2 linked regions of the Elephas maximus indicus genome follow. The protein of the gene in region 1 interacts with the protein of each later gene in a pairwise test. Links are inferred from orthologs where the notes say so. Each region holds a gene or a part of one and is shown on either strand. Other genes may lie near its edges.

Region 1 (11,832 bases):
TGCTGTTTACCTCATTTAATCATAACAACAATGCACTGAAGTCAATTCTTTCTTTTGTCCCTTGTTTACAGATGAGAACCGAGGCACAGGGACGTTGAGTAATTTGCCTCAACATTACACAACGAGGAAGTGTCAGACACCCAGTTCTGCCAGACCAGGACACCCACATTAACTATTTGCTTTACTGCTAACATGCTTGGGTGGAAAATTCCACGGCCTCAAAGGCCAGGAATGGGTAGTGCATTTGCTGAGCATAAAAGGATCTTTGTATTGTACTGTTTAGTGGACAGCACAAGTTACAAAAACGTACGCATCATATATTCTCGTATATGTATATATATTATCTGATTACTACCTATATGGTGAAAGGATACAACCCTATCCCACACCTTTCCTGACTTTAAACCATGTAGTATCCCCTTGTTCTTTTCAAACGGCTGACTCTTGATCCAAGTACAGATCCCTCACAACGACAATTAAGTGTTCCAGAATTCCCGTTCTCTGCAGTGTTTTTGATAATTTGTTATGAGCTACACAGCCAAATGCCTTTTGCATTGTCAATAAAACACAGGTAAACATCTCTCCCCCACGTGTCTGTCAGTTTGTCGTACTGTGGGGGCTTGTGTGTTGCTGTGATGCTGGAAGCTATGCAACCGGTATTCAGATACCAGCAGGGTCACCCATGGAGGACAGGTTTCAGCTGAGCTTCCAGACTAAGACAGACTAGGAAGAAGGACCCGGCAGTCTACTTCTGAAAAGTATGAGCCAGTGAAAACCTTACGAATAGCAGTGGAACATTGTCTAATATAGTCCTGGAAGATGAGCCCGCCAGGTTGGAAGGCACTCAAAAGATGACTGGGGAAGAGCTGCCTCCTCAAAGTAGAGTCAACCTTAATGAGTGGATAGAGTAAAGCTTCCGGGACCTTCATATGCTGATGTGGCGCAATTCAAAATGAGAAGAAAGAGCTGCAAACTTCCATTAATAATCAGAACCTGGAATGCATGAAATATGAATCTAGGAAAATTGGAAATCACCAAAAATGAAATGGAACGCATAAACATCGATATCCTAGGCATTAGTGAGCTGAAATGGACTGGTATTGGCCATTTTGAGTCAGACAATCATATAGTCTACTATGCTGCGAATGACAACTTGAAGAGGAATGATGTTGCATTCATCGTCAAAAAGAACATTTCAAGATCTATCCTGAAGTACAACGCTGTCAGTGATAGGATAATATCCATACGCCTACAAGGAAGACCAGTTAATACGACTATTCAAATTTACACACCAACCACTAGGGCCAAAGACGAAGAAATAGAAGATTTTTATCAGCTGCTACAGTCTGAAATTGATCGAACATGCAATCAAGATGCATTGATAATTACTGGTGATTGGAATGCAAAAGTTGGAAACAAAGAAGAAGGATCAGTATTTGGACAATATGGCCTTGGTAATAGAAACAATGCTGGAGATGGAATGATAGAATTTTGCAAGACCAACGACTTCTTCATTGCAAATACCTTCTTTCACCAGCATAAACAGTGACTATTTTTATACGCATGGACCTCACCAGATGGAACACACAGAAATCAAATTGACTACATCTATGGAGAGAGACGATGGAAAAGCTCAATATCATCAGTCAGAACAAGGCCAGGGGCTGACTGTGGAAGAGACCATCAATTGCTCATATGCAAGTTCAAGCTGAAACTGATGAAAATCAGACCAAGTCCATGAGAGCCAAAATATGACCTTGAGTATATCCCACCTGAATTTAGAGACCATCTGAAGAGTAGATTTGACGCATTGAACACTAGTGACCAGAGACCAGACGAGTTGTGGAATGACATCAAGGACATCATCTATGAAGAAAGCAAGAGGTCACTGAAAAGACAGGAAAGAAAGAAAAGACCAAGATGGATGTCAGAGGAGACTCTGAAACTTCCTCTTGAGCGTCGAGCAGCTAAAGCAAAAGGAAGAATTGATGAAGTAAAAGAACTGAACAGAAGATTACAAATGGCCTCTTGAGAAGACAAAATAAAGTATTATAATGACATGTGCAAAGAGCTGGAGATGGAAAACCAAAAGGGAAGAACACGCTCAGTGTTTCTCAAGCTGAAAGAACTGAAGAAAAAATTCAAGCCTTGAGTTGCAATAGTGAAGGATTCCATGGGGAAAATATTAAATGATGCAGGAAGCATCAAAAGAAGATGGAAGGAATACACAGAGTCATTATACCAAAAAGAACCAGTCGATATTCAAACATTTCAAGAGGTGGCATATGATCAGGAACCGATGGTACTGAAGGAAGAAGTCCAAGCTGCTCTGAAGGCATTGGCGAAAAACAAGGTTCTGGGAATTGACAGAATACCAGTTGAGGTGTTTCAACAAACAGATGCAGCGCTAGAGGTGCTCACTCATCTATGCCAAGAAGTATGGAAGACAGCTTCCTGGCCAACTGACTGGAAGAGATCTATATTTATGCCTATTCCCAAGAAAGGTGATCCAACCGAATGTGGAAATTATAGAACAATATTGTTAATATCACACGCAAGCAAAATTTTGCTGAAGATCATTCAAAAACGGCTGCAGCAGTATATCGACAGGGAACTGCCAGAAATTCAGGCTGGTTTCAGAACAGGATGTGAAACCAGGGATATCATTGCTGATGTCAGATGGATCCTGGCGGAGAGCAGAGAATACCAGAAGGAAGTTTACCTGTGTTTTATTGACTATGCAAAGGCATTTGACTGTGGATCATAACAAACTATGGATAACACTGCGAAGAATGGGAATTCCAGAACTATTAATTGTGCTCATGAGGAACCTTTACAAGGATCAAGAGGCAGTTGTTCGGACAGAACAAGGGGATACTGATTGGTTTAAAGTCAGGAAAGGTGTGCGTCAGGGTTGTATTCTTCCACCATACCTATTTAATCTGTATGCTGAACAAATAATACGAGAAGCTGGACAATATGAAGAAGAACGGGGCATCAGGATTGGAGGAAGACTCATTAACAACCTGCGTTATGCAGATGATACAACCTTGCTTGCCAAAAGTGAAGAGGACTCGAAGCACTTAGTAATGAAGATCAAAGACCACAGCCTTCAGTATGGATTACACCTCAACATAAAGAAAACAAAAATCCTCACAACTGGACCAATGAGCAACATCATGATAAACGGAGAAAAGATTGAAGTTGTCAAGGATTTCATTTTACTTGGATCCGCAATCAACAGTCACCGAAGCAGCAGTCAAGAAATCAAAAGACGCATTGCATTCGGCAAATCTGCTGCAAAGGACCTCTTCAAAGTGTTGAAGAGCAAAGATGTCACCCCGAGGACTAAGGTGCGCCTGACCCAAGCCATGGTATTTTCAATCGCATCATATGCGTGTGAAAGCTGGACAATGAATAAGGAAGACCAAAGAAGAGCTGACGCCTTTGAACTGTGGTGTTGGCGAAGAATATTGAATATACCATGGACTGCCAAAAGAACGAACAAATCTGTCCTGGAAGAAGTGTGGCCAGAATGCTCCTTAGAGGCACGGATGGCGAGACTGCATCTTACATACTTTGGACATGTTGCCAGGAGGGATGAGTCCCTGGAGAAGGACATCATGCTTGGCAGAGTAGAGGGCCAGCAGAAAAGAGGAAGACCCTCACAAGGTGGATTGACACAGTGGCTGCAACAATGAGCTCAAGCATGACAACGATTGTAAGGATGGCGCAGGACCGGGCAGTGTTTCTTTCTGTTGTGCATAGGGTCTCTATGAGTCGGAACCGACTCAACGGCACCTAGCAACAACAAGAAAACATCCCTCTGGTGTTGTCTGCTTTCAGCCAGGATCCATCTGACATCAGCAATGATATCCCTGGTTCCACGTCTTCTTCCAAGTCTGGCTTGAATTTCTGGCCCTTCCCTGTTGATACACTGCTGCACCTGCTTTTGAATCAGCAAAATTTTGCTGGCATGTGATATTAATGATACTGTTTGATAATTTCCACATTTGGCTGGATCACCTTTCTTGGGAATAGGCATAAATATGGATCTTTTCCAGTCCAGCTGGCCAGGTAGCTGTCTTCCAAATTTCTTGGCATGGATGAGTGAGTACTTACAGTGCTGCATCCATTTGTTGAAACATCTCAACTGGTATTCTGTCAATTCCCAGAGCCTTGTTTTTCGCCAATGCCTTCAGAGCAGCTTGGACTTCTTCCTTCAGTAGCATTGGTTCCTGATCATATGTTACCTTTTAACGTGGGTGAATGTCAACCAAGTTTTTTTTTGGTATAGTGACTCTGTGTATTCCTTCCATCTTCTTTTGATGATTTCTGCTGTTTAATATTTTCCCCGTAGAATCCTTTAGTATTGCAACTCAAGGCTTGAAGTTTTCTTCAGTTCTTTCAGTCTGAGAAATGCTGAGTATGTTGTTCCCTTTTGGTTTTCTATCTCCAGGTTTTCGTACACATCCTCACAATACTTTGTCTTCTCGGACTGCCCTTCCAAATATTCTGTTCAGCTCTTTTACTTCATCATTTTTTCCTTTTGCTTTAGCTACTCGATGTTCAAAAGTAAGTTTCTGAGTCTCTTCTGACATCCATTTAGGTCTTTTCTTTCTCTCCTGTCTTTTTTAATGACCTCTTGCTTTCTCCATGTATGATGTCATTCCACAATTTGCCTGTCTTGGAAGTACAACCAAAATGTTCCTTAGAAGAAAGGTTGGCCGGACTACGTCTCACGTACTTTGGACATATTATCAGGAGGTATCAGTCCCTGGAAAAGGCATCGTGCTTGGTAAAATAGAGGGTCAGCAAAAAAGAGGAAGACCCTCAACGAGATGGACTGACATAGTGGTTGCAACAATGTGTTCAAGCATAGCAATGACTGTGAGGCTTGTACAGGGTTGGGAATTGTTTTGTTCTATTATGCATAGGGTTGCTGTGAGTCGGAATTGACTGGAAGGCACCTAACGACAACATTATATAGAAAGAGCTCATTCGGGGGGGGGGAAGGGTAGCAGCATATTTAAAAGAACAGCTGAGCTAAGACTTAGCACAGAAGTGGGTCTCAGACCTTTTGCTTCTAAATTGGTCCTGGCTTTTATCTGGTGACATATGTCCAGTGTTTTTAGTTCCTTGACATGAGTTTCTTGGTTCCTCAAACCAAAAGACCAAACCCAGTGCCGTCGAGTCAATTCTAACTCATAGCGACCCTATAGGACAGAGTAGAGCTGCCCTAAAGAGTTTCCAAGGAGCGCCTGGCGGATTTGAACTGTCCACCCTTTGGTTAGCAGCCGTAGCACTTAACGACTAAGCGCCAGGGTTTCCTTGGTTCCTAGGCAGGACTAATTATGACATGGGGCAATCAAATCGTTTCTGTGTCTATGCAGGATTCTAGTTTTAGTTGGTTTGCCTAAAAAACAATCCTAAGAGGAAGCATTAAGGGAAATCTGGTTGCTTATTGTTCAAAATTTAGCCTCAGGTTAAGATACTGGTTCTCTTGTGTCCGGCCTACGCCATATGTTGTTTGCTTTCGAATTTTTACAGCTTCTGCTCGCAAGAGGGTTAATTTTACCTCAGGACCCCAGACCTGTCTCAGAACATTATCGGATATAGTGCAGGATGATAAGCCCCTCATGGTGGAAGGCACTCAAAAGGCGACTGGGGAAGAGCTGCCTCCTCAAATAGAGTTGACCTTAGTGATGTGGATGGGGTAAAGCTTTCGGAACCTCATTTGCTGTCGTGGCACTACTCAAAATGAGAAGAAACAGCTGTAACATCCACTAACAATCGGATTATGGAATGCTCGAAGTATGAATCTAGGACAGACAGAATGCTGATTAGTAAAGAGGATGATGAGACTTGTGTCATGTACTTCAGACATGTTATTAGGAGAGACCAGTCCGTGGAGAAGGACATCATGCTTGGAAAAGTAGAGGCTCAGTGAAAAACAGGAAGACCACCACAAGACGGATTAACACATTGGCTGCAATGATGGGCTTAAGCATAGAAACGCTTGTGAGGATGGCACAGGACCGGACGTTGTTTAGTTCTGTTATGCGTACAGTCTCTATGAGTCGGATTAAACTCCAGGGCACCTAACAATAACGAATCTTTGGCTGCGGGCCCAGAGAGGCCACAGAAGCGCTAAGGCCACACAGCTCGGGACGGGAAGGTTGGGGACTGGCAACGCCCCCTCAAGGACATTTGATTGCTTTGGCGCGGAACTCCTCAGCCACACCCTAGTGGAGCAACCCGGAGGGGGCAAACTTCCGGTGGGTGTGCCACTTTCGTGCGGGGCAGCCGATTCAGCTGTTGTAACGCGCACCGGAATTCCGTCATCTGTCACTCCCCGCCCTTTTCCGGAGGTGACGCACGACGGGGTTGCCGGAAGAAGTGGCGAAGTTACTTTTGAGGGGACCGGAGCAGTGGCGGCGTTCAAGGGGATACAGAGAAGGAGGAAGCGGAGCAGAGAAAGCGGACAGAGTCAGGTGCACCCGAGGGGGGCGTGGGAGGAGTCCGGGGCTATGGCATCTCAGCCCTTCCCGCGCCGCTCCATTCAGCCCCCTTCTTTCGTTCTTCCCCCGCCCCTTCATAACTCGTACCGCCCCCCGGCTGTTTCCAGGGTAACGGAACCAGGAGACCCCGCGAGAGGCCGCCCCGAAGACCCCCACGCGCAGCCATGAGCCCCGCCCCCCGCTGGTGTTTGGAGAGGGGCGGGACCTGGAGCGAGGTGTGGGGGCGGAGCATGATGGGGCGAGGGGGAAAAGCCTGACGGGAGGGGAGGGGGCGGGGCTTGTAGAGAGGGGGTACGGATGGGGCGGGGCTTGGAGCACGATGTTGGGGGCGGCCGTGAGCGGTGGAGATGAGAACCGAACTTGGAAAGAAGGGGGTGAGGATCTGAAAGGAAAAGATGCGGACAGAACTAAAGTTTGCTCAGAAGAAGTGACGTGGAGTCTGAGTACCCAAGCCAGTAGTCGTGTGGTGGATTCTGCCTTATAGTGACCCTGTAGGACAGAGTAGAACTTCCCCATGGGATATCTGGTAGGGGCTGGTGGAGTCAAACTGCTGAACTTTGGGTTAGCAGCTGTAGCTCTTAACCTCTGCACCACCAGGGTTCCTGAATAAGTAAAACCAAAAAGACCCCACCTGTTGCCTAAGAGTCTATTGTGAACCACAGCGACTGTGTAGGCCAAGAGTAGAATGGCCCCATAGAGTTTCCAAGGAGTGCCTGGTGGATTCGAACTGCCGACCTTTTGGTTAGCAGCTGTAGGTCTTAACCATCAGGCCACCCGCATAAGAACAGGTGGGGTGGAATTTGATGGGAGGGAGGAGTGAATGCTTAGCAGGATTGAAGGAGGAGGGTGGGACCTGGAAGTAGCAGGTAGGAGGGAAAAACCTTAGTAGGGTGTGCCTTGGAGCAGAAGGGGCCAGACCTGGGGACATGGGGAGGGGAGGAGCCTGGAGCAGAAAAAGGGCAGAGCCTTTTAGAATAGGATGGGAGGGTTTGAAGGTAGGAGCTCCTGGTGGCGTCTTTATGGAGTTGGGGAGGAGTCTGGGAGAGATGGAAGGAGGAGAGGGGACCTCATTAGCACATGTAACTAGCTCAGAGGAGACCCATCCTGACTCCTCAAGTCTCTTAAAATGTGTTGCCATCGAGTCGATTGTGACTCATAGTGGCCCTGTAGGAGAGTAGACCTTACCCATAGAGTTCCAAAGCAGACTGCCACATCTTTCTCCCGCAGAGCAGCTGGTGGGTTCAAACGAGCAACCTTTCAGTTAGTAGCTAAGTACATAACTACTGCGCCACCAGGACTCCTTTTGAGGCTCATAATCCCCCTGTATTGCAGGCTGCTCCGTGACCCCACCATGTCCACCCCCACCACCAGTTCCCTGGACAGCCCCCTGCCTGGTGAGTGTCCCGCACCCACACCCAGCCCACCCCCCCGCAACACACACACATCGGTCAGGAAGGAGGCACTCACTGTGCCTCCCTGTTGCCTCTCTCCCAGGAAATGGCCCCCCTCAGCCTGGAGCCCCCTCTTCTTCACCTGCTATAAAGGAGGAGGGCCCTGAGCCTTGGCCTGGGGGTCCAGACCCCGATGTCCCAGGCACAGATGGGGCAGGCTCTGCCTGCAGCGTGGGTGAGATGGGGCCCCAGGATGGGATGTGGAAGTAGGTGTTGGGGCTCAAGGTGGGATCTGGGAAGGTAGAAAGATTAGAACCAGGATGGGGAGATGGCAAGCCCCTGCCTCTTGTTGATTTTTTGCCTCTCTCGTTCCCCCTTGTCATCTCTTGCTTTGATTCATTCTTTGGGGTGCACTGACACATCTTTCTCTCTGGTCTCCATCTCCTTGGGTGTTCACATCTCCCTGCTCGGGCTTCCACCCTGGGACCTCTCTTAGGCCTGTCTCCCTGTGGCTCCTTCTCTCATGATCTTCATCTGACCACCCTAGTCATCCCAGACCCAATGGAGGAGCCAGAGCGCAAGCGGAAGAAGGGCCCAGCTCCCAAGATGCTGGGCCATGAGCTGTGCCGCGTGTGCGGGGACAAGGCCTCTGGCTTCCACTACAACGTACTCAGCTGCGAGGGCTGCAAGGGCTTCTTCCGGCGCAGTGTGGTCCGTGGTGGGGCTGGGCGCTATGCCTGCCGGGGCGGTGGAACGTGTCAGATGGACGCCTTTATGCGGCGCAAGTGCCAGCAGTGCCGACTACGGAAGTGCAAAGAGGCGGGGATGAGGGAGCAGTGTAAGTGTGGGCGGTGGGATGCGGGGCTGTGCCAGCCCGGCGCCCACTCTCCTTAGAGCCTCTGCTGAGGTCCGTGTGCCCACACAGGTGTCCTCTCCGAAGAACAGATTCGGAAGAAGAAGATACAGAAGCAACAGCAGCAGCAGTCACCCGTGGGGTCAGGAGGTGGCAGCAGCTTATCCTCTGGGCCTGGGGCCTCCCCTGGGGAGCCTGAAGGGGGCAGCCAGGGCTCTGGGGAAGGAGAGGGCGTCCAACTAACGGCGGCTCAGGAACTTATGATCCAGCAGTTGGTGGCGGCCCAGCTGCAGTGCAACAAGCGCTCCTTCTCAGACCAGCCCAAAGTCACGGTATGGGCCCTCGTGCAGCCTCGAGGAGGGCCAGGCACACCAGGGTCGAGCCGGCAGGGCTGTGGCCTAAAGCAAGGGAGGGCAGGAGCTCTAGAGGATGAGGCTTGGCCTCCAGGTGCCCCCGTGGCCCTGGTTCCAGGGAAGAGTCTTGTGTGACTCTGGCCACCTGTGTCCTCAGCCCTGGCCTCTGGGTGCAGACCCTCAGTCCCGTGATGCCCGTCAGCAGCGCTTCGCCCACTTCACAGAGCTGGCCATCATCTCCGTGCAGGAGATTGTGGACTTCGCCAAGCAGGTACCCGGCTTCCTACAGCTGGGCCGAGAAGACCAGATCGCTCTCCTCAAGGCATCCACCATCGAGGTAATGGCTGGCCCGCCCATCCCCAGGCAGGCGCTGCCCTCCTGCCTCCGAGGGACCCTGGAGAGGAGCCCTAGGGTAGATGCTGGGTAGCGGCAAGCAGGACTTACCAGTCCCTGCTCTCTTGGAGGAGACATTCCATGGAGGAAGATGTTGTTCTTGTTCTTAGCTGCCATTGAGTCGGTTCTGACTCGTGACTCCACGTGTGCAGAGTAGAACTGCTTCATAGGGTTTTCAAGGCTGTGACCTTTTGGAAGCAGATTGTGAGGCCTGTCTTCGAGGCGCCTCTGGGTGGGTTCAAATCACCAACCTTTTAGTTAGTAGTCGAGTGCTTAACTGTTAATGCCACCCAAGGACTCGTTACAGAGGAAGGTAGTGGATGTCAGATGCATTCACAGGACCATCAGAGTTTTGCTGATCCCAGGACAGAAAGGAACAAGGGGTTGAGTTTGAGGACTGGGCTAGAGGGGCCTGCTTTAGGAAGAGTGTGCCAAGAAGGCTTTCTCCAGGATAACAAATAAGTATTGATTGTCTGCTGTATAGGAGCCTTGGTGGCACAACAGTTAAGTGCTTGGCTGCTAACCAAAAGGTTGGCTTTGGAACTCACCCAGTGGCTCTTCAAGAGAAAGACCTGGCGATCTGCTTCCGTAAAAGATTACAGCCTAGAAAACCCTATGGGGCGGTTTTACTGTGTCACATGGGGTTGTTACAAGTCGGAATCAACTCCAGGGCACCTAAGAACAACAATAGCCTACTGTGTGCCAGGCTCTGTCCTAGGTGTTGGGGATAGAGCAATGAACCAGACAGACAAAGATAGACGAACACTTCTGCTGCCTTCCTGGTACAGATCTGGGAAAAGCATGAGCTACGTGGAGGATGCAGTGCGTGCTGAAGCCTGGGGGAGGGAAGGAGCCTGGAGAGCTCCACGTGTGGACCAGCGGTGATGTAGCTGAGAGCAGGGGTCAGGGTTGAGCAGTGATCCTGATGAGACCAGCCCCTGACTTGGGCCGAAAGGGGAGGCCTAAAGGGTTACACAGGGCCCCCTCGTGCCCCCAGCCTCCCCCTGGTCCCCACCACCCTCAGATCATGCTGCTGGAGACGGCCAGGCGCTACAACCATGAGACGGAGTGCATCACCTTTCTGAAGGACTTCACCTACAGCAAGGACGACTTCCACCGTGCGGGTAGGCCAAGCGCAGCATCATAGTTACCTAGAGCTGCTGTGACAGAAAAACACCACGGCAGGGTGGGGAGGTGTGGGGGTAGCAAGGCCTTTCAGGAAGACATTTATTGTCTCAGAGATGGGAGGTCCTGGTGGCACAAAGGTTAACTGCTCAGCTGCTACCATAAAGCTTAGTGGTTCAAGCTCACCCAGGGTCTCTCCGGGGAAAAGACCTGGTAACCTGCTCCTGTAAAGATTAACCCAAAACCAAACCAAACCAGATGCTATCAAGTCGATTCTGACTCATGGTGACTCTAGGACAGAGTCGAAGTGCCCCATGGGGTTTCCAAAGCTCTAATCTTTATGGAAATAAACTGTCACATCTTTCTCCTGCGGAGCAGGCTGGTGGGTTTGAACCGCCGACCTTTCAGTTAGTAGCCAAGCACTTAACCACTGCTCCACCAGGGCTCCTCTGTAAAGATGACAGCCTAGTAAACCCTAGGGGGCAGTTCTACTGGGGGCAGCTCTGCTCTGTCACATGAGATCAGTACGAGTGAAAAATGATTCAGCAGCACTCAACAACAACAAAGTCTAAAGCAGGATGTTGTCCATGTTGGTTACTTCTGGGCGCCTCTCCTCTAGTTTCCAGTGGCTACTGCAATCCTTGCCATTCCTTTGCTTGTAGATGGGTCCTAACAGGTGTCTCTCTTGACCTTGTATGTGCCTGTTCTGATTTTTATACCACCACTGCGAAGGGATTAGTTTTAGGGCCCACCCTACTCTGATGTGACGTCATTACCATAACAAAAAAACCCTTATCTCCAAACAGGGTTCTATTGATAGGTACAGGGATTAGGACGTCCTTATAACTTTTTAGGGAATACAGTCCATCCATGACGGGCAGGCTTGGGAGCCACCTGGTACCCTTCTCGGCCCCTGCTGGCTGGCATACCTCGGGCTGTCACACTTCTGGCTGATCCTGCATTTCATTATGTCCAAAGTGGTGGTGAGGGGTGAGCCCGCCTCATAACAAGCCTTCAGCGAGACAAGAGGTGCTCTGTACGGTGGGACACAAAGGAGGATGCCACAGAGTTTGTCGGCTGTCATGGGGGGCATCTTGGTGGGAATTAGGCAAAGGCACTGGCCTCCACCCTGATCTCTCAGCCAAGGGAGAGCAGGCTGGATTGTGTGCAGAACACTGTGCAGTGTACAACGTACA
Region 2 (11,233 bases), on another chromosome or scaffold:
CTGTCCTGTAAATATAAAAGAATCTTACTGGTCCATGGAAATATGCTTGATCTTTTTCTCCTGTGGCAAGATATGGATAGAATAAAGGAATGCAAGGTTATGTTTACCTACCCTGCTGGTGTATGCTACATGCTCCGTTCCAGGTGAGTAACTGGTTTTTCTATCTCAGTCTCAATCTCTCTCTCTCTCTCTCACGTGCAGATATGCACACATGCACACACATACACACATACACACATACACGCATGCGCACACACACACACAAACACATATGGATTGCTAAAGGTTGACCCTTCTTTACCAAGCTGCACTTTTTGAAGAGGTTTTTTTCCCCCCATTCCCTAAAAAGGCATTGGTCACCAGCAGCAGGACCTTTCACAGATGAAAAACTAGCCTAGCAGGGACAGATTAACAGGCAAAATAGCTGCACAAAGCTGACAGGAGGTGCACTCTAACTGCATAACCAACACAGTTAACTCTAAATTTTTGGTAAGCATTTTCCTGTTCTTGCTCCTTTGCTGAGGCTCGTGGAAAGCAAAAGCAAAACAAACTCTGCTGGCACCCCATCATTTGTAAGATTTTCTCAAAGGTTTTCTGGGGTTGTGATATCAAACTGTAAGCAGCTGCTTATACTTACTCTGCCCAGTTGATTTTACTAATATTAAAATCTTAAAAAGAAAAACCCGTTGCGTTGATTCCGACTCATAGTGAGCCTATAGGACAGGGTAGAACTGCCCCATAAAGTCTCCAAGGAGCACCTGGTGGATTCGAACTGCCAGCCTTTTGGTTAGCAGCCGTAGCACTTAACCACTACGCCATGAGGGTTTCAATTAAAATCTTGGGCACCCTTAACTCATTTATCTTCATTGTGCTCCAGTAAGTGAAAGAAGTGGCAAATATTATCTCCAATTTACCAGTCAAGAAACTAAATCTATAATAGCAAGATTTGCTCAATCATAAAACAAGTAGCATCCAGAGCAGCGTTCACTATTCCTCCTTCTCTAATTCTGGATTGCCCTGTTTCTCCACTATGCTCTAACTTTCAAAGATTGAGTCTCAAGGACAATGATTCTCAACCTGACTGCACGTTAGAATCGCCTGGGGAGCTTTTTTAAAAATTGCCAAAGCTCAGCCCACCCCCTAGCGATTCTGACTTAATTCATCAGGGGTGGAGCCCAGCATCAGTATATTTTAAAAGCTCCCCAGGTGATTCTAACGTTCAGCCAGGGTGGAGAAACACTCATCAAGGGCAGGGTTTCTCAACTTTGGCCCTACTGACATTTTGGGCCACATAATTCTTTGCTGTAGGCAGCTGTCCTGTGCACTGTAGCATCCCTCCCCTCTACCCACTACATGTCAATAGTACCCCTCCAGGTGTGACAAGCAGAAATGTCTCCAGACAATACTAAATGCCCCCACCCCCAGAGGAGTGGTAAAATTGCCCCTGGTTGAGAAAAACTGATCTATAGGACTGTGTAGGAGTCCCTGGGTGGTGCAAATGGTTAAAAATGCTCAGTTGCTGACCAAAAGGTTGCAAATTCAAATCCACTCAGAGACACCTTGGAAGAAAGGCCTGGCAATCTAATTCCAAAAAATCAGACATGGAAAACCCTAGAGAGCACAGTTCTACTCTGAAATACATGGGGTCACCATGAGTAGAAGTCAACTCTATGGCTTCATGGCTCCTGGTTTTTTGAGGAACGTGTACGCAAAATATGGTAGATTCACACTCTAGAAAATCAGTGGTATAGGCAGCCAATGAATATAGCTTAAAATAATTATTAAGTAGAGAAAAGGAAGAAGGGAAATGACATCTTACGAGAGTTTTTTACCAAATTAAAACATATATTCACAAAGTGACACAGTAATTTTCCACAGCACATACATACTCAAGAATATACGCCAAACACGTTGAGTGGGTGTCTGTGATTCGAAGGCACTGAAAGCGCAGAAAGGAAAGGAAGGGTACAGACTGTGAGCATCTCACGGGTTTTAAGAAGGAACTTATAAGGACAATGAGACAGTTAAGCCCACACATCTCTGCTAAGTGAGGGGTATTTTTGTGTGTGACATTAGGAAAAAAATAAATCAAGAAATTCCTGAGGCCAGCCCTCCACTTTCTGGTGGGGCTGTACATAAAGAAACCATCATCTAATTTCCTGGAGGAAACAAAGGGAACATGGTACACTATCTATTCGCAACCTAACATTTGCTCTGGGTGAAGGCACTCTAGACAGGAAACTGCCTCGGGGAGGGGGTAGGGGGGACTTGTTCCCATCTAACCTGCATCCCTTCCCGTGAAACTCAAGTTCCTTTCTCCTTATTTTTTCCTTATCAAAGGTGTTGAAGAGATCACATCATTGATGGTGATGACAATATTCAAGGAAAATTAATAGGATGGCTCCAGTTCCATCACCCCTAAAGCAAAAGCAGTCATGAAATGCCCTTAGTTTCATGATCTGTAAAATGGACATAATTATACACACCTCAAAGTTCTGGGTAAAAACTAAATGAGATAATGCCTAAGAAAATATTTTGAAATGGTAGAGCTTTAAACAATGGGAAATGGGCATCACCTTGGAAAAAATAAGTTCCATTGTATATAGTGCGGTAGCTGAAATAACCAATAAAGGTTTAGCCTAGAAAAAAATAAGGCAGTGATTTAAAAGACAAATCTTGTTATTTGTCAAAGTTTGTTTTGTATGATAGCATAAGCAAGAATTTGAAGCAAGGAGCTTTTCTGGAAAGTCTATTAGGGTACACAATGTTATTGCTTTTCCCTGATTAAAATGATCAGATTTCAACAGGTCACAAACCAACACTATTTAATTCTGGCATTTCTGTGTATTCCTAATAACTATATAAATATATAAAGCTTTTTCTAAACCTTTTTGGGATGTCATACTCCTTTTTGATGAAACAGAAGAAAAGAAATTTTTATTTAAATAAAATAAATTCTCCCCCGTTTGGATCCTTTCCAAATATTCCCTGATTTGTAAACAGTGAAATTTTGGTACCGAAAGTTAAAAAAAAAAAACTTTATAAAACATAATCTAAACATATTAAGTAACACTAATGCTTTGAAGGGTTTATCCCACATAGCTTATTAAGGCGTTAAAATAAGATATTAAACGATTTATCTGTAAGGGGTACCAATTGTGGAAACAATTTTTAAATTCTATATTATCTGTAGGAACCCTGGTGGCCCACTGGTTAAAGTGTTCAGCAGTTAACCAAAAGGTCAATGGGTTTCCACCAGCTGCTCTGTGGGAGAAAGATGTCCCACGCAGTCTGCTTCCGTGAAGATTACAGCCTTGGAAACCCTATGGGGCAGTTCTACTCTGTCCTATAGTGTGAAGATGAGTCGCAATCACCTCGAGGGCAGTGGGTTTGGTTTTGGTATATTATCTGTAAAATAGTTTGGCTTTGCCATCTTGCTTAATATTCAATGCTGAGAGTGAAAAGGTGGTATTCAATTTTGGCTTTCTGGGGGTTCTTAGGAAAATCTTAGGATTTCTCAGATTCCTTGGAAACCCGGATTCATCCTAGAGTGAGTAGATCTATGTAAGTTTCTCCTTAATAAACTATCAGGTGAGCACGTTCTTTACAGAAGTCACCTGCTGTAAAATAAGCAAAGTTTCTGCACCTCAGATCCACTGGTTATATGCTAAATCTCTAGTTATAGGGACTGAAATGCTCAAGTAAGGATCTGAGACTGCAAAAAAACACTGTACAGAAGGAAAAAATGATACCTCTCTTGGTCCTTTCCTAAGTATTGTCATTCAATTTGGCCCAGGCAGGTCGGAACATCAGGGAGTGTCTTTGGCAGCAAGCTGTATCCTTGTGCTTTATTTGTTTGTTCATGTGTTTGCTGCTTTCTAGACACTCTGGTCACCCACTCTGGTCACCCTCTCCCTTCCGCACTTCCCTAGAGCACTCCTGCCTCCTTTCACGGGTCATTTTCCCATCCAGGTTTCTAGACAGACCCCCAACGGCTCTAAGAACAATAAAAGACGAGGGAGTGGGTGGGAGGAGACCGCCAGCCACACAGCCTGGGGAACTGGAATCTGTGGGTAATGAATCTGTGACTGTAGTTGCAGCCTGGAAGTACCCAGTTTCCTGCACAAACATTTACTGAGCGCTGAGGATTTGTCTGATACTGCCCTGGCCTTAGTACGCTGCGAGGTAAAAGAAACGGTCCCTGTCCCTTAAGATCTCCAGGGTCCCAGGAATACAGACCGGGCAGGCCCCGAGTCGGGTCCCGTCGAGCTCACCCACCTCTGCCTGGTGATGAGGTTGATGTAGTGCCGCAGAGCCGAGTAGTATCTGGCCAAGTCCTCCGCCGGCGCGTCCTCGCCGGGGTTGTCCGGCTTGGAGGGGTACGCCTCGACCAGCGCGCCCAGGCACACGAGCAAGGACAGGGCAAGGGTCAGTCCGGACAGCCCCAGTCGCTTGCTACCCAGCATCTGCGGGCACAGAAGGTGCGGGGGAGGGGCTTCAGAACTGGGGGACACTATCCACAGCACCTCCTTCCTCTGCCTTCCCGCACCTCCCGCTGCTAGCAACTGCGACCCGCAATTCCTCCTCGACCCAGCCCCGCAGAGGGAACCCGAGCGTGGCGAGCACCACCCTGCCGGCTCAGAGAACAATCTGCCCTGGCCTGGCCCCTCTACTCCGTCCGAAAACTCCGCGCAACTTAGCCGCAAAGCGCAGGGCGACGAGTCGTGTGGCGAGAGAAGTAAGTTGGAGGGCCCCCCGTGCCCGTTAGACGCTTTTAAACAGAAAGAAAAGTTCTCCCTGCTAGGTGAAAAACTATCATTTTCCTACCCTCTACTACTCCAAATCTCTGTCGGAGAAAACTTTCTTTTCTCTAACTTTTGGTCTGCAGGAGGCGTCCTCGACAGTGGTGGCTGAGATCACCATGGGGAGGCAGGGTTTTTGTTTTTGTTTTTGTTTTGGTAAATGGTGGGGGTGGAAGGGAGAGAATTGCTTGCTGGCACCAAAGTCATTGCCTTCAAGTCGATTTCGACTCAAAGCGACCCTACAGGATAGAGTAGAACTGCCCCGTAGGGTTTCCAAGGAGCCCAGATGGTTTCCAACTGCCGACCTTTTTGGTTAGCAGCCGAGTTCTTAACCACTGGCTGGCACAGCAGGTCTCAATTCGGATCCCGAGGGTCCCGGGGGTGAAAGGGCTCCCCAGTGCCCGGGATTCCTCTGTTAGGGCGCTACCCAGCAAACCTCCCTCTCGCGAACCACCCTCTGGGCTTCCACGAGGCGACCCTGGAGCAGACCGCCGGCTGCTCTGGGTTGGGGGTCCTGTGTTCTCCGTTTTCTCCAAAAACTAACCCAGAGGGACCACCCAGCCTGAAGGGCCCGGAAGAAGGGAGGATGGACAATCACAGGGGACCCAGAAGAGGAGCAAGTGGAGTTTAGCCGCCGAGAGCGGCGCGGAGAGGGCAGAGCGCGGCGCGCAGAGCTGGGGACCCGGGCGCGACCCTCCCAGGACTCCAGGGATCGCGGAGGTTGAGAGCGCACCCCGGACAAGTTCGCCCGCGCTCTCTACCCTCGGGTGCGGGCCGAGCAGGTGGTGGTACTCACGGTGGCGGGCTGGCGGGCGGTCGGGCGTGGCCAGGCGGTGAGTGCTCTGCAGTCGGGCTCGCCTCTCCGCGGGATGAGAGCTGTCTGGTGGGGTGTCGAGAGCGGGTCGCAACAGGGCTTTTATGGCACTCCCTCGTCGCGGCAGGAGGGGCCTCGGGCAATCACGCTCCAGTGACTCCCACTCCGCCACTCCCCCCCCCCCCCCCGCCGCCGACTTCGAGTCGCGGAAGGAGGGGGCTGGAGCCGCAGCCGCACGAGCGTTGGCCTCCGGAGCCGCCCACGCCCCAACGCCCCGGCTCCAGGCCAGGTCCAGGAAAGGCGAGCTGGGCGAGCGCACGCGGTCCGAGGGCGCAGAGGACGCCAAAGCTAGCCCTGCGCTCCCGCGGCGCCTCAACTCCGCTTCCCTTTACGACCGGCCTAGTTTTGCCAAGATCTTTGGGCAAGACATAGCCCAGGTCACCTTTGTCGCCTGTCCTCGGGACCACCAGCAGGCGCCGGGGTAAGAGACACTTGAGTCCCCTACTTGGATGGAGCATCTTCGGGACCCGCGCCGGGCACAACTTTGTGCGCTTTCGGAGGGAAGCAACTTGGCGCACATTGTCCCTCATTTATCCGGCAGGTCGGAGGCGGCTGACGGACCTACCCAGCTAGAGAATCACAAACACCGCTCCCTAATGAGCTAAGAACGGACTTCCATGGCTTTGGCCCCCTTCCCCAGCTTGTTTTTCTGGGAGATTAGCCCTTCCCAAAGACTTGCCCAAATGCTGCGAGCCCGGCTAGGTGAGGACCTGAAAGACTGTGGCTGCTAAAACTCTTCAGGGGCGGAATACGGTAAATCCAATTCCACCATTTGCTGGAAAAGTGCCACCTTTCCAGTGTCTGAAGACTCCTTAAAGCGCGATCAAACAAAAAAGTTTGGTCCAAGGTGGCCGGTATAAAAGAACTGCAGTTTCTCCGTTTATCTCCTGGCCCTTTGTATACAGGTGGGGTAGTAATTAAGATCTACGGTTGCTAACCAAAAGGTCGGCAGTTCGAATCCCCCAGGCGCTCCTTGGGGGCAGTTCTACTCTGTACTATAGGGTCACTGTGAGTCGGAATCGACTCTACCTCAACGGGTTTGGTTTTAGTTTGGTTACGTGTGTTCAATTAACATTAGCTGAGAATTAATTAATTGTGTTCTGACTGAAATAAAAACAGGCTTTCAGAAAATGATCAACATTAATTTGCACATCGCGTTAAACCTGTTGAGTGTATATGAAAAATAGACCACATACTATTCTTAAAAGATCAGGGTTTTATGTAGTGGACTGCAATCTTAAAGTTCCCTGAATGAATAAGCCTAGAAGTCTGAATGTTACTGATTAAAATGGCACGTTAGGGAATAAAAACGTTAAGTTACAAGTTGCTTGAATGCCAAAATGACAAGTGATTCTGTTAAAATGTTTTGACAGCATTCAATTAAATATCAATTACTTAAGCAACCCTAATACACACACACAAATGCAATCAATAAGCAGGTTATGAATTCCGAAAACCCATATCCCTTCCACTTTGTTCCTCTTTCCATGTTACAGAAATAACATGCCCAGAGCACACATGTATCAGGGCTCTCAGCTTTGCTCAGAGAGTGCTCATGTGAAAACATCTTCGGTAAAAGAGCAAAACATTGTCTAATTTAGAGCCCTTTCTAGAAAAGAGGAAAGACACCATCTACTTTTCAATAAAATAATCTAATTTTTAGAGTGTATCACAAATTCCTATCATTTAAAACCTCATAGAAGGAGCCACTGAATTCGGGAGAAATTACTTCTAAGGATTTGTGCCAGCCTTCAGTGGGGAGCACTAGGGAAATTTGACGATTTAGCTGCAGATAATGTCACTGGCACCCAAGAATAAGAATCCATTCTCAGGGGGCAGCATTGAGAAAATAAAAAACAAGAAGTGATGTGCTCCACATGTATCTTACAAACATCTTTATTCCTTTCTCTCCAGTCCAAAACGCACCCCCTCACCACCATGGGCACTGAATATTCTCCTTCTCTCTTAGGACCTTGTTCCGTCAATTGCCTCCTTTCTTTCCTATACTTTTCACCTCCTTCAGCTTAAAAATTTGCTTGGGTTTACACTGTAAAAGAAACAAAGCAAAGCTACCACCCCAAACAAACAAAAACAACTGTCTCTCAACTCAGCATCTCCTTTAAGCTGCTGAACCATTTCTCTACTTTGTTTCAAAGTTAAGCTTGCATTTATGTATGTATGTTTGCATGTTATTTATTTATTCAGCCTTATTGAGGTACAGTTGGGATGCAATAAGCTACAAATGTTTAAATATTCAATTTTATAAATTCTGACATATATTACACATATACTGTGGTCACCAGGAATCAGAATTAACTCAACAGCAATGGGTTTGGGTTTTGCGTGTTCATAAAGCCATCATCATCATCAAGATAATGAACGTGTGCATCACCCCCAATAGTTTCCGCAGGTTCTTTTGTAATTCTTCCCTCCAACCTCTCTCCAACCCCTTCCTCCAGGCAACCTCTTATCTGCTTTCTGTCACTATAAATGCATTTTCATTTTCTAGAATTGTATATAAATATAGGTTTTTGTTTTTTATAATCCCACAGTACGTACTCTTCTGTCGGAGGCAGCTGCCTTCTTTCACTCAGCGTCGTTATTGTAGATCCACCCATGTTCGACTCGACGGCACTGGGCGCTTTGTTGCATGTATCGATGGTTTGTTCCTTTATTACTGGGTAGTGTTCCATTGTATGACTATACCTCAGTTTTGTTTTGTTTTTTAATCCATTTACCTGCTCACAGACTTTGGGTTGTTTCCAGTTTTCACTTTTACGAATAAAGCTGCTATAAACGTTCATTTACAAGTCTGTGCATGGGTATGTTCTTTCATTTCTTTTGGGAAAATACTTAGGGGTGGAATAGCTGGGACGTATTGTAGCTGGTATGTTGCCCCACAGTTCACAAATTGTCTGTTCTTTGTTTTGTTTCCTATGTATTTTATTTTTTATAGTTTCCATTCCTATCTTTAAGTTCACTAATCTTTTCTTCTGCAATGGCTAATTGGTGTTGATCTTATCCAGTGCATTTTATACCTCAGAGCATGTAGTTTTCATCTCTAGAAGTTCAATTTGGATTTTTTTTTAGTATCTTTCGTGTCTCTGCTTAGTATGCTTGATCTTTTCTCTAGCTTCTTGAATAAAAATTAATAGTAACTTGATTATTAATTCTTCTAATTATAGCTTATACTTTTCCTTCTTTGTATGTCTTGTATTTTTTTATACGAAGGCAGACATTGTAATTCTACCATGTTGTCTGTTGGATATTTTTGTATTCCTACAAATATTCTTAATTTTTGTCCTGGGATGCAGTTAAAAACCTGGGAACAATTTGACACATTTGGTTCTTCCTTTTAAGTTTTGTTAGATGGGATCAGAGCTGAATTTAGTCCAAGGTTAATAGTTCCCCATTATTGAGGCAAGACTTTTCTTACTTTAACTGTCGCCTCCTGAATGGTGCAGTTTTCCACTCTGACTGTTGGAACAGGCACTATTCCTGGCCTTGTGTGAACACTGGGCCCTGTTTCCTTTAATTCTTTTGTTCTTTCCCTGTCTTGGGTAGTTTTCGACCATGTATGATCTGATCTGTAATCAACTGATTACTAGAGAGGAACCCTCTGCAGATCTCCAGAGTTCTCTCTCTCTGCAGCTCTCTCCAATCCTGTATTCTACCTGAGAGCTCTAGCTGCCCTGGCTTCCCCAGACTCCTAGCTCCATCTCTTCAACTGAGCTGCCATTCTTTGTGTTGATTCCTCCCCTTGTGCACTACAGCCTGGAAAATTTCTTCAGGCAGTAAGCTGGGACCATTACAGGACTCCCCTCATTTGTTCCCCTCCTTTAGGAGATAGCTGTCCCATGTTGCCTGATGTCCAGTGCCTTGAGTGCCATTGTTTAGCATATATTTTCCAGTTTTTTTAGTTGTTTCAGATGAGAGGGTAAATTCAGTTCCTGTTTCTTCCTTTTGACCAGAACTACAAGTCTCAGAGCAAAGCTTTTTTTAAAAAAAATGTTTCCACTCCTTGCCTCTGCTTCTTCAGCTTTGGTTTGGTCATAAGACACTGAAATATAGGTTCTGTCTGTTCAAGGTACTGAACCTGTATCAGTAAGATCATGCTGATTGCAACCCCATAAACCTTCACTACTTATTTGACTTCTCTTGACCATTACCTTCACTGGTCTCCTCTAGCTTACCACCTTTCCCTCTGACCTTGCCCCAGTTTCTTTTGCTGACTAGTCCTTCTGTACCCCAAGTCTCAGCCTCAACTTTGATCTTTTTCCATTTTACATACACTGAGTGATCAAGCTCATATACTCCTATGGCTCATGAGTCTGAAATCTCTACCACTAGCTCAGCACTAGCTCAGGCATTGTAGATTATATCTAAATTATCCAAAGTGGAGCTTCCATTAACATCAATTCCTAATTCTATAGCATTGTAGGAGAAAGACATTTACCTGTGTTTTGTTTTTTTTTTTGACTATGCAAAGGCATTCAACTGTGGGGATCATAACAAATTACGGATAACATTGAGAAGAATGGGAATTCCAGCACACTTTATTGTGCCCCTGAAGAACCTGTATATAGACCAAGAGGCAGTTGTGCAAACAGAATAAGGGGATACCACATGGTTTAAAGTCAGAAAAGGTGTGCGTCTGGGTTATAACCTTTCAGCATAGTTGTTCAATCTGAATGCTAAGCAAATAATCCAAGAAGCTGGACTATATGAAGAAGAACACAGTGTCAGGATTGGAGGAAGACTAATTAACAACCTGTGATATGCAAATGACACAACCTTACTTGTTGAAAATGAAGAGGACTTGAAGCACTTGATGAAGATCAAAGACCACAGCCTTCAGTATGGATTATACCTCAACGTAAAGAAAACAAAACTCACAACTGGACAAATAAGGAACATCATGATAAATGCAAAAAACATTGAAGTTGTCAAGGATTAAATTTTACTTGAATCCACATCAGTGCCCATGGAAGCAGCAGTCAAGAAATCAAAGGATGTATTGAATTGGGCAAATCAAAAGACCTCTTTAAAGTGTTAAAAACAAAGATGTCACTTTGAGGACTAAGGTATTCCTGACCCAAGTCATGGTATTTCCAACCACCTCATATGCATGGGAAAGCTGGACAATGAATAAGGAAGACCGAAGAAGAAATGATCTCTTCGAATTATGATGTTGGTGAAGAAAATTGAATATACCATGGATTGCTAGAAGAAGGAACAAATCTGTCTTGGAAGAAGTACAGCCAGAATGCTCCTTAGAAGCAAGGATGGTGAGACTTCATCTCACATACTTTGAGCAGGTTATCAGGAGGGACCAGTCCCTGGAGAAGACATAATGCTTGGTAAAGTAGAGGATCAACAAAAAAGAGGAAGACCCTCAGCGAGTGACACAGTGGCTGCAACAATGGGCTCTAAGATAGCAATGACTGTGAGGATGGCACAGGACCAGGCAGTGTTTCCTTCTGTTCCACATAGGGTCACTAGGAGTAGGAACCGACTCGATGGCACCTGTTATGGATTGAATTGTGTCTGCCAAAAA

What was found.
Region 2: the proteins of NR1H2 (region 1) and NPY interact in a two-hybrid assay, tested with the Homo sapiens proteins (3 studies listed by BioGRID and IntAct). The link is inferred for Elephas maximus indicus from reciprocal best matches to the Homo sapiens genes NR1H2 and NPY.

Annotation. Positions count from the first base shown.
Region 1 is NC_064829.1:98,025,920-98,037,751, reverse strand, and holds the start of NR1H2 (oxysterols receptor LXR-beta), read left to right. Parts: upstream 1-6,363; 5' UTR 6,364-6,494; intron 6,495-6,628; 5' UTR 6,629-6,736; intron 6,737-7,853; 5' UTR 7,854-7,872; coding exon 7,873-7,915; intron 7,916-8,015; coding exon 8,016-8,147; intron 8,148-8,408; coding exon 8,409-8,750; intron 8,751-8,837; coding exon 8,838-9,097; intron 9,098-9,275; coding exon 9,276-9,455; intron 9,456-10,508; coding exon 10,509-10,635; intron 10,636-11,832. UniProt on the Homo sapiens protein: Nuclear receptor that exhibits a ligand-dependent transcriptional activation activity. Binds preferentially to double-stranded oligonucleotide direct repeats having the consensus half-site sequence 5'-AGGTCA-3' and 4-nt spacing (DR-4).
Region 2 is NC_064826.1:85,178,049-85,189,281, reverse strand, and holds the start of NPY (pro-neuropeptide Y), read right to left. Parts: upstream 5,722-11,233; 5' UTR 5,599-5,721; intron 4,467-5,598; coding exon 4,279-4,466; intron 1-4,278. UniProt on the Homo sapiens protein: NPY is implicated in the control of feeding and in secretion of gonadotrophin-release hormone.